2 linked regions of the Arabidopsis thaliana genome follow. The protein of the gene in region 2 interacts with the protein of the main gene of each other region in a pairwise test. Each region holds a gene or a part of one and is shown on either strand. Other genes may lie near its edges. The genes, in order: PAP1 and SPA4.

The links.
Region 1: the proteins of SPA4 (region 2) and PAP1 interact in a two-hybrid assay, tested with the Arabidopsis thaliana proteins (one study listed by BioGRID).

The regions. Positions count from the first base shown.
Region 1 is NC_003070.9:21,232,828-21,236,998, forward strand, and holds PAP1 (production of anthocyanin pigment 1), read right to left. Parts: upstream 2,466-4,171; 5' UTR 2,263-2,465; coding exon 2,142-2,262; intron 1,602-2,141; coding exon 1,472-1,601; intron 1,383-1,471; coding exon 887-1,382; 3' UTR 728-886; downstream 1-727.
Region 2 is NC_003070.9:19,781,336-19,787,409, forward strand, and holds SPA4 (SPA1-related 4), read left to right. Parts: upstream 1-1,849; 5' UTR 1,850-2,235; exon of another isoform or gene 2,236-2,348; 5' UTR 2,349-2,412; coding exon 2,413-3,033; intron 3,034-3,109; exon of another isoform or gene 3,110-3,120; coding exon 3,121-3,278; intron 3,279-3,374; coding exon 3,375-4,272; intron 4,273-4,357; coding exon 4,358-4,504; coding exon of another isoform or gene 4,505-4,529; intron 4,530-4,609; coding exon 4,610-4,921; intron 4,922-5,012; coding exon 5,013-5,072; intron 5,073-5,166; coding exon 5,167-5,355; 3' UTR 5,356-5,567; downstream 5,568-6,074. Other genes in the region: AT1G53080 (Legume lectin family protein), read left to right, coding at 33-884; AT1G53100 (Core-2/I-branching beta-1,6-N-acetylglucosaminyltransferase family protein), read right to left, coding at 5,655-6,074. UniProt on the Arabidopsis thaliana protein: Repressor of photomorphogenesis in the light. Probably part of the COP1/SPA E3 ubiquitin-protein ligase complex.

The sequences.
Region 1 (4,171 bases), 1.5 Mb from region 2:
GTTTATAATGTAAGAAACTCAAGATTAATTAGTTTCTTAAACATTGTGCTTTTATCTAAAACATTTAATATTTTGAAATAGAGGGAGTACAAATTTTTGTATCAGAACTTCTGCGAGTATGGGTTTCAAAAACCTATCTATGATCGTCGTTAAAACTTTATTACTAGCAAGTACGTTATTAAATTTGACAATTGTTATTGACTAATTAATAACTGGGAAATAGGTTTGTTAGTAGTATTGATTTTTTTGTCGTAATCATTTAAGAGTGGAATACGGTTTTGATAATCAAAATCCAGAAACTAAGCCCATATGAGAATCTGCACGTTAACAATCTATGCATTTAAAAATAAATAAAAATAACACTAAAACATGACTTCAGAATATATAAATAAAGCATTGCCTTCTCAACCAAAGTGTTTAGTAATCTAAACATTGTAAAACATGACATTTGCCCAACCATACATGGTCGGTAGAGAAGGTTTGGTACTGAAGGGTAAAACTCCTAAATCCGAGTTCAATCATATTTGAAAACAAAAATGACATTTATTTAGAAAGTTTGTTAGTTGAGTTTTAACCCAATTGGTTTACAATTTTACATAGTGATTAGAAATATAGGCGGTTTGATTTCGGAAAGTATTCTAAACACCGGATACATACCTTTTTCAAAAAATAAGATTTTTTTTCTATTTTTACTGTTGTCATGTAGATAACCAAAAAAAAACAAAAATCTTCAGAATATATTAATATTTTATTTTCTTCAAAATGTAAACACGGAAACTTGAAATATTTCATTAAAATGCTAAAAACTATTAGCTTATTTATCAAAACACACAAATTAAAAGGTGAAAGCAAACCTATACACAAACGCAAACAAATGTTCGAAACACTAATCAAATTTCACAGTCTCTCCATCGAAAAGACTCCAAAGTTGATCAACGTCAAAAGCCAAGGTGTCCCCCTTTTCTGTTGTCGTCGCTTCAGGAACCAAAATATCTACCTCTTGGCTTTCCTCTAGGAATTTCTCTAACCACATATTATCTCCATCAATCAAATTATTCACTAGTTGGTCTTTCTTCTTATCTTTGTTGTATATGATACTATTGTCACAAACATTATTGATGTTAAGTCCAAGGCATGGAGGATTAACGTCAACTTTTGGTGGGGCATTGAGATGGTTGCAGTCGTTGTTAACTGTGAAGGATCGAGGTCGAGGCTTATAAACATTGTTTTTTAGTGCCGGTGTTGTAGGAATGGGCGTAATGTCTCTCTTTTTCATCTTTATCTTACAACACGGTTCATGTTTCTTACTCAGATGAGTGTTCCAGTAATTCTTGACGTCATTTGCGGTCCGACCAGGTAATCTTCCAGCAATTAAAGACCACCTAACAATTGTAAGAAAATATACATATGTTATTAGTATTAACTTATGACGACTCTCCGAGTTAAGTAGTATCGAGGTAACAATTAATACCTATTCCCTAGAAGCCTATGAAGGCGAAGAAGAAGATCGACTTCATCAGAGCTAAGTTTTCCTCTCTTGATACTTGGCTTCAAATAGTTCAACCATCTTAATCTACAACTTTTCCTGCACCGGTTTAGCCCTACAAAACCAATAATTGATTCTTTGATTATACCTACATACTAAGACTGTTTTTTATTTGTCTCCTTCTATATATTTTATCAGGAAGAATCTATGCACACCAATAAAAATAAAGAACTGTTCCAACACAGAAACACGTGTTCATACAAAATTTTCCCACGAATTCATTTACAAGAAGACAAGCGTGTAAAAATTTGAACGACTTTATAGGAGAAGCTAGCAATACGCAACGTAACTAAAATTAGTATAATTTTTTTTCTTTAATTTTAAGTAAAAATCTTCGTTTAGGTGTAAAACAAATACGAACAGCAAAAGAAATTTTCATGCACAACCTTTAATAGCATGTAAAAACAGCATAAAGAAGTTGTAACAATGATTTGTACTCATTTAAACAAATTTTTTTTTTTTTTTTTAATACCGGGTATTAATCAATTTTCTGAATAGAAAATAGAGAGAACGAAGACTATTGGTAGTGATTATAGATATTCATATTTGTGTGTGTGTGTGTCGGTTAGTGTGTGTGTGTTCGTAAATAACATACCAGCTCTTACAGGAACTTGGTGCCATTTGCCTTCTCCATACTTATTAATGCACTGTCTCAAGAGACTATCTTCTTCAGTAGTCCAAGCACCTTTTCGCAGCCCTTTGGACGAACCCTCCATGGAACAAAGATAGATACGTAAAATATATAAACAAATTGTAAAAGGTATAAGTAAATTGGTCAAGGAAGAGGGTATATATAGTATGGTTTCACAAATGATTGGAGGTCTTATAGAGAGTGTGAGTATGTGAGAAAATTTATAAAAACACGTGACGGAAAAAAGGAAGTGACGTGCATGTTTGATATCCACATTTTATGTATTAGCTGTCGTGCTTAATTTGCTAAGTTATTGTTTGGTTACTGATTTGTCCTAGAGAGAAAAGGTTCATAGGATCTAGCAAGTATCTCCATCCTTTTTCAGTACTAAAAACAAACAAACATGTTTCTTAACAAAATTAGGAGAAAGGACGATAGTAATTAATGTTCGGGTATATATGTTTTCAGAAAGAAAAAATTTGGGTATGATTTATCCGATTACAAGATGGAGAAGTTTCATGCACAAGAAATAGGACAGAATTGAGAAAAAGGGTGGATGAATAACAATAAGCTTCATCCGTGTAGTTTGGATAGAGAAATAGGAGATATAAATTTTAATAAGGCTATTTTTTTATATATTTTTTTCTTACCATTTTACCAGTTTTTAGAATGTGCATCTTCACTAGAAATTTAACAAGCATTTGAAGTCTTTTCTTAAAATTAGATATTCTTTTACAAGAGTTGGGAGTTAAGATAGTGTATAGTATGTTCAGTGTTAAGAGTTAAGATAGTGGTATACAAATTTTCTTAAGTATAGTAGAAATAGTACATGTATTGAATATGATTTATCTCTCTAGTTAGTTTTTTTTTTTTTTTTTGGGACAACTATCTCTATAGTTAGTAGTGCCGATTAGAATCATTGTTGGTGCATCTAGTGAGATCGATGTTGTTGATGGGATTGTGTGGAGAATGATCAAAGATTTGATTATCACGGAGATTAGTTTAAGAAAAGCCATATTGGTTCTTAATGATTTACTTCTGGACAGAAGAGAAAAAGAAACACTTATATATAAAACGCCGGTTTATTATCATTTTCTAAGAAAAGCATTTTTAGTCGTACTTTTTGAGGACTTGCAATTTAAATTTATAAATACTTTTAACAAAATTTGACTAGAATCTGATCTCATTTTTCAGTATCTAAAAGTTAGTATTTGTATATTTCTGCTTTCTTGCATGAAAATTTACGTGTACGATGGAAAACCTAGGCGAAATGATATGCTGTAAAGCTAACTAATTGCTTCTTTTTGACGAAATATAATCGTCATGTAGGAGACTTAAGTGTGAGCCCTCTACTCTTGGTTTCTTGCAAGTTAACGAAGGATTTTTATAGACAATGAGCCCTCTACGCTCTAGCTGTTTTAGTTCATTCTATCGTGCACTATAATTGTGTCGTTAATTATGTGTGGACTCGAACCCAAACCTGGTGTAGAAGTATATATATAACCAGGGGCGGACCCAGCAAAAAAAATTGGTGGGAGCAAATTGTTATAAGGAGGAATCGAACCTGTGAACTCTAGTCTTATTTAGATGAATTTGAACCAATTTGCCTCATTAACGTTGATCCGCCACTGTATATAAACTAGAAAGTTGCACACCGGATGGTAGGCTCGCTCTTAATATAGTTTTATTTCTGTAATTATTTTTTATAATTTATGGTTTTGAATAATTTAATTTGTTTGTTGTACACATAAAATTCAAGGCACGTATTAGATACAAACTTTCTGTATGATCATCGCTAATCATGAGCCGAACAACAAACTTTTAATATTAAACATTCGTGGGTTATGTGTTGGGATATGATGGGCTTTATACCACTACTTCTAATACCCATGGTCGGTTCCCTTGATCCAAAATGGTTCTTCTTTTGTGTGTGTTGGGCTCTTAGGCCTTTCGGCTTTGTAAAGTTTTCTTCCTTATGCAATCAATAGCAAATC
Region 2 (6,074 bases):
AAAAACATACACACGTAAACAACAAACGCATAATGCAGATCCACAAACTCTGTATTTTTGTTCTGTTCATATCTTTGTTAAGCTCTAAAACCATTTCCGCCGTCAAATTCAACTTCAACCGTTTCGACGGAACAAATCTAATCTTCATCGGGTACGCCGAGCTAGGACCAGCAACCGATGGCATGAGCCGGTCCGGAGCTCTCTCCATGACCCGTGACAACATTCCATTCTCACATGGTCAAGGTCTCTACACAGATCCAATCCCATTCAAATCTTCCAACAACACATCTTCTTCTGTTTACTCTTTCAAAACATCTTTCACTTTCTCCATCACTCCTCGACGGTCAAACCCTAACCCTGGTCATGGTATCGCCTTCATCGTGGTCCCAACCGTAGCCTACGAGTACGACCAAGACTCAACCCGCGGCTTCCTCGGTCTAGTTAACCTCACAACCAATGGCAATCCTAATAACCATCTCTTTGCGGTCGAATTCGATGTTTTCCAAGACAAACGTTTTGGTGATATTAATGATAATCATGTTGGTGTTAATATTAACTCTGTTAACTCAAAGGTTTCTGAGAAAGCTGGGTATTGGATTCAGACAAGAACTAGAGGGAAGAATCAATGGTTGTTTAAGGAAGTGAAGCTTAGTAGCGGAGACAACTACAAAGCTTGGATTGAGTATAAGAACAGTAAAGTCATTGTTTGGCTTGCACCTGCGCATTTAAAGAAACCGAAGAGGCCATTGATCGAAACACAAGTTGATCTCTCGGAGGTGGTTCTTGAGACTATGTATACCGGCTTTTCCGGTTCGATGGGTCGTGGCGTCGAGCGTCACGACATTTGGAGCTGGAGTTTTGAGAACACCGCCAAAAACAATTAGTTCTGATTTTGGTCTTGTTTGGTTTGATTTATGTTTGTTACCGGTTTAACAATTATGTATTTTCTCTTGATTTTTATTCAAAAGTGGTTAAAAAGAGAGTACGTATAAAATGTCAAAATCAAATTTAAAATTACTTTGATCGATTAAACCATTAAAAAAAATCCTGAGAAGAAAACATGCACACTGTCCCGGACCATCACCGTCAATGATCTTCTTGGACATGCATCATTGATTTTGTATAAATAAAGACTCGTTAAAAGCCAAAGCACAACCACGTGGTATTGTGGTCATCGTCCTCATCAAATTGAATCAGTTTGTTCATGTCACAAGTTTCTTAACATAAGTTTTTAAAAGATATTACTAAAATTTAAAACTAAAATATTGACAAATCCACGATATATAAGGTTAAAGCTATCACAGTTTCTAGGTCGTATCATTTTCTACAAAAATCTTGCATTACATTTCAGATGGTTTGGTTTCAATAAAAAAACAGAGTTTTTTTTTTTTTTTCATTGATAAATTTGTGTATGTAATCTAATCATAGAAAAAGAAAAAACACGTGGCGTGTCCGGACGCATGTGATTTTGTAATTTACCACTTACGTTGTCGACTTGTCTCAATCCATTCCATGGAAATGGAAACTCCCCTCTGGTTATTAAATGCTCCCACCAATACATTCTCTTTCCTTTCACCAAAACCAATAATACAAACAATTTTGTTTTTCTCATTCAAGATTTTCAAAGTACAATCATTTCTTTAGGTACTTTCTCTTGTAATAAGGCTTCAAATATGTTATTCAAAAATTATTTTGGTCATTTTAAATTCCTATTATAGCCTTACAAAAATGTGTTATATTATTTGGACCACAACATAATTTAAACATTCCTCTTGAAGAAAATTGGTCACTTCAAAAAAGAACAAAATTCACTTTGACCTCATGGTTTACTTATATTTACATATATGGCCCAAAACCAAAATACGAAAAAGGTTTTAGCTTTACGTTCTTTTGATTCCTAGGTCGTCGTTTAACCACGTTGCTTGCGTGGAAAGAGAAGAGAAGTGAAGATTATCAAAAAGCGAAAAATAAAACCCTCACTGTGAAGTAAAAATCGTAGGCCCAAAATAGATTTCTCTTAGCCGAGAATTTAATTTTTATGAATCTGATTATTGCTTTTCTACGAACTCAGTTTTTGCGATGTGTGGTTCTCAAAAAAGGATCGTTTCTTCGGTGCCTCTTAGTCTCTCAAGTACTTCTTCTTCTTCTTATCTTCTTCTTCGCTTTTCTTTTATATATAGAGAGAGTTTAGTGGTCAAGAAGCTTCCTCGTGTTTGTCTCTTTATGTAATCAAAGGTTGCATTTTTATTCGAATATATTTTCTGGTTTTGGTGTTTTCTGTCAAAGGGTCTTTTAAAAATCTTAACTTTCGTTCTAAATTTCTTTACTTTATTTCGATTCTAACTTAGGGCTTTTGGGCTGGGATCATGAAATGAAGTATTGCAGAATCCAGAGGAGTTTGTTTGGTAATCAATGAAGGGTTCTTCAGAATCTAGTTCCAGAGGATTAAACAACACCTCTGGTGTTTCAGAGTTTTGTACAGATGGTTCTAAGTCTTTGTCTCACATTGATTATGTCAGAAGCTTACTTGGTTCACATAAAGAAGCTAACTTGGGAGGACTTGATGATGACTCTATTGTCAGAGCTTTGGAATGTGAGGATGTTAGCTTGCGTCAGTGGTTAGACAATCCAGACCGATCCGTTGATGCCTTTGAGTGTTTTCATGTTTTCAGACAGATTGTTGAGATTGTTAATGCAGCTCACTCTCAAGGCATTGTTGTTCATAATGTTAGGCCTTCTTGTTTCGTTATGTCTTCGTTTAACAATGTTTCGTTTATCGAATCCGCTTCTTGTTCGGATTCCGGGTCTGATGAGGATGCAACAACAAAGTCTCGAGAGATTGGTAGCTCGAGACAAGAGGAGATTCTATCAGAGAGACGAAGCAAACAACAAGAGGAAGTAAAGAAGCAACCTTTCCCTATGAAACAGATATTAGCAATGGAGATGAGTTGGTATACAAGTCATGAAGAAGATAATGGTTCTCTGTGTAATTGTGCTTCTGATATTTACCGTCTTGGTGTTCTTCTCTTTGAGGTTTGTGCGTAAGAAGATTTGATTTTTGTTCTTAACTGCTTTGTTTTCTTGAGAAAACTGATTTGATGAATGTTAGTCTTTGTGCAGCTATTCTGCCCTGTCTCCTCAAGAGAAGAGAAGTCAAGAACTATGTCTAGTTTAAGACATCGTGTTCTTCCCCCTCAGATATTACTCAATTGGCCTAAAGAAGCTTCCTTTTGCTTGTGGTTACTGCATCCTGAGCCTAGCTGTCGACCATCGATGAGGTGATGATTGATTCTCTCTTTGATGTTTTTAGTTTCAATTGGAAAAGTTTTGTCCTTTAATTAAGAGTATTGTCTCCTTTGTCTTTACTTTTGCAGTGAGTTGCTACAAAGTGAGTTTATCAACGAACCTAGAGAGAATTTGGAAGAACGTGAAGCTGCAATGGAGCTACGGGATAGAATCGAGGAACAAGAGTTATTACTCGAGTTCTTGTTTCTGATTCAACAGAGGAAACAAGAAGCTGCAGACAAATTGCAGGATACAATATCGCTTCTCTCTTCTGATATCGATCAAGTCGTAAAGCGACAGTTGGTTTTACAGCAAAAAGGGAGAGATGTCCGTTCGTTCTTAGCCTCAAGAAAACGGATTAGACAAGGAGCTGAGACCACTGCAGCAGAGGAAGAAAATGATGATAATAGCATTGATGAGGAATCTAAGCTTGATGATACTCTAGAAAGTACACTTCTTGAAAGCTCTAGATTAATGAGAAATTTGAAGAAACTGGAATCAGTCTACTTTGCAACACGATACAGACAAATCAAGGCTGCTACTGCTGCTGAAAAACCGTTGGCTAGATATTATTCGGCATTGAGTTGTAACGGTAGAAGTTCAGAAAAGAGTTCAATGAGCCAACCATCAAAAGATCCTATCAATGATTCTAGACAAGGCGGGTGGATCGATCCATTCCTCGAGGGTTTGTGCAAGTATTTGTCTTTTAGTAAGCTAAGAGTGAAAGCAGATTTGAAGCAAGGAGACTTGTTGAACTCGTCTAACCTTGTTTGCGCAATTGGGTTTGATCGTGATGGAGAGTTTTTCGCCACGGCAGGCGTCAACAAAAAGATCAAGATATTCGAATGCGAGTCGATAATAAAAGATGGCCGGGACATTCATTACCCTGTTGTGGAACTTGCTAGCCGGTCTAAGCTTAGTGGTATATGTTGGAACAGTTACATTAAGAGCCAAGTCGCATCAAGTAACTTTGAAGGCGTGGTTCAAGTAAGTTCAGAAGAAAACTCTCAACCTTATTAATCAATGAAAAGTATGAAAAAAAATCTTATAACTAAGGCTAATATTTTCATAGGTTTGGGATGTTGCAAGAAACCAGTTGGTTACAGAGATGAAGGAGCATGAGAAGCGTGTATGGTCCATCGATTATTCATCAGCAGATCCAACATTGTTAGCTAGTGGTAGTGATGATGGTTCGGTTAAGCTCTGGAGTATCAATCAGGCAAACTTCGAAACTAAACCAAAACGTATTTATGCTCGGAAATGCGAGAATAGTTCTTTTGAGGGATGTGTTTTTAACGGTTGAGTTCGTTTTCCTCTGTTTCAGGGGGTTAGTATTGGAACCATCAAGACAAAGGCAAACATATGTTGTGTTCAGTTTCCATCAGAGACGGGTCGGTCTTTAGCATTTGGCTCAGCAGATCACAAAGTTTACTACTATGATCTAAGGAACCCCAAGCTTCCTCTTTGCACAATGATTGGTCACCACAAGACCGTGAGTTATGTTAGATTTGTAGATTCATCAACACTTGTTTCTTCTTCGACGGATAACACGCTGAAGCTATGGGACTTATCAATGTCTATTTCCGGTATTAATGAAACGCCTCTTCACTCATTCATGGGACACACTAATGTTAAGGTATATTTTTTTCGAGATTCGTTTCTATTGCTTCATTTCAAGTTTGCTTTATGAGATTACAAATACATTTCTGTTCTTGCATTGTGTGTAGAACTTTGTTGGATTATCAGTCTCTGACGGGTATATAGCAACAGGCTCTGAGACTAACGAGGTATGTCTACTCTCACTTCATAAATATACAAAAGAAGAACTGTTGATCCCATTTGTCAATAAAAACCGTGAATTTCGTGTGCTTCACTGGACAGGTTTTTGTGTACCACAAGGCATTTCCAATGCCGGTTTTGTCGTACAAGTTCAAAACTATAGACCCTGTGTCGGAACTCGAAGTAGACGATGCCTCGCAGTTCATATCCTCAGTCTGCTGGCGGGGACAGTCGTCGACCTTAGTTGCTGCAAACTCCACCGGCAATATCAAGATTTTGGAGATGGTATGAACCAATATAAAGTGGCTCAGAAGCAAAATGGTAATATTCCAGGGTTTGGATTGGTATAGGAAACAATTTTTGGGAGAGAAAGTAGGAAAAGTGAAAACAATATTGTTGCTACTAAAGAATTGTGTATATAGAAAAAATATATGATATCTTTCTATTTGTTGTATAGTACTTATTGTAAACCCTAATGACACAGGTGGGCAACTTAACATACAAGTAATAATTATTTACTTCAAAAGAATTATACAATCAAGCTGTGGTGTGTATAGAACTGCAAGATTCTCTCCAAGCTGCTTGATTCTTTATACACATTGATTCTTACCTAATTTAGCCTCTGTAACTAACCTATCTACAAGCTCCTTGAGCCTCACAGCCCCTGAGCTAGGCCTGATCCTAGCCACATCTTCGACAACCGAGCACTCTGGTTTCCCACCGCACCAACCGCCTGGAGTAAAACCGTCTTCGTTTATCCGTATAAGCAGTTCCTTATCAATCTTATCCAAAACAGTATCATTTCTTCTGAACTTCCGACCAAATGCAGATCCGCTCGAAATCATCTTTCCCATGTCTCTTTGAGACAACATACGAGGATGCTGCCTCGGTGGCTTGTCCCATGCGATGTAGTGAAGATCATGGTTCACCGCGGTTTTGGAGAACTCAGGCACGTTACATATGACTGTATGGAAGTAACCTTCAGGAGAAGAAACGAAATTGGTGTAGTA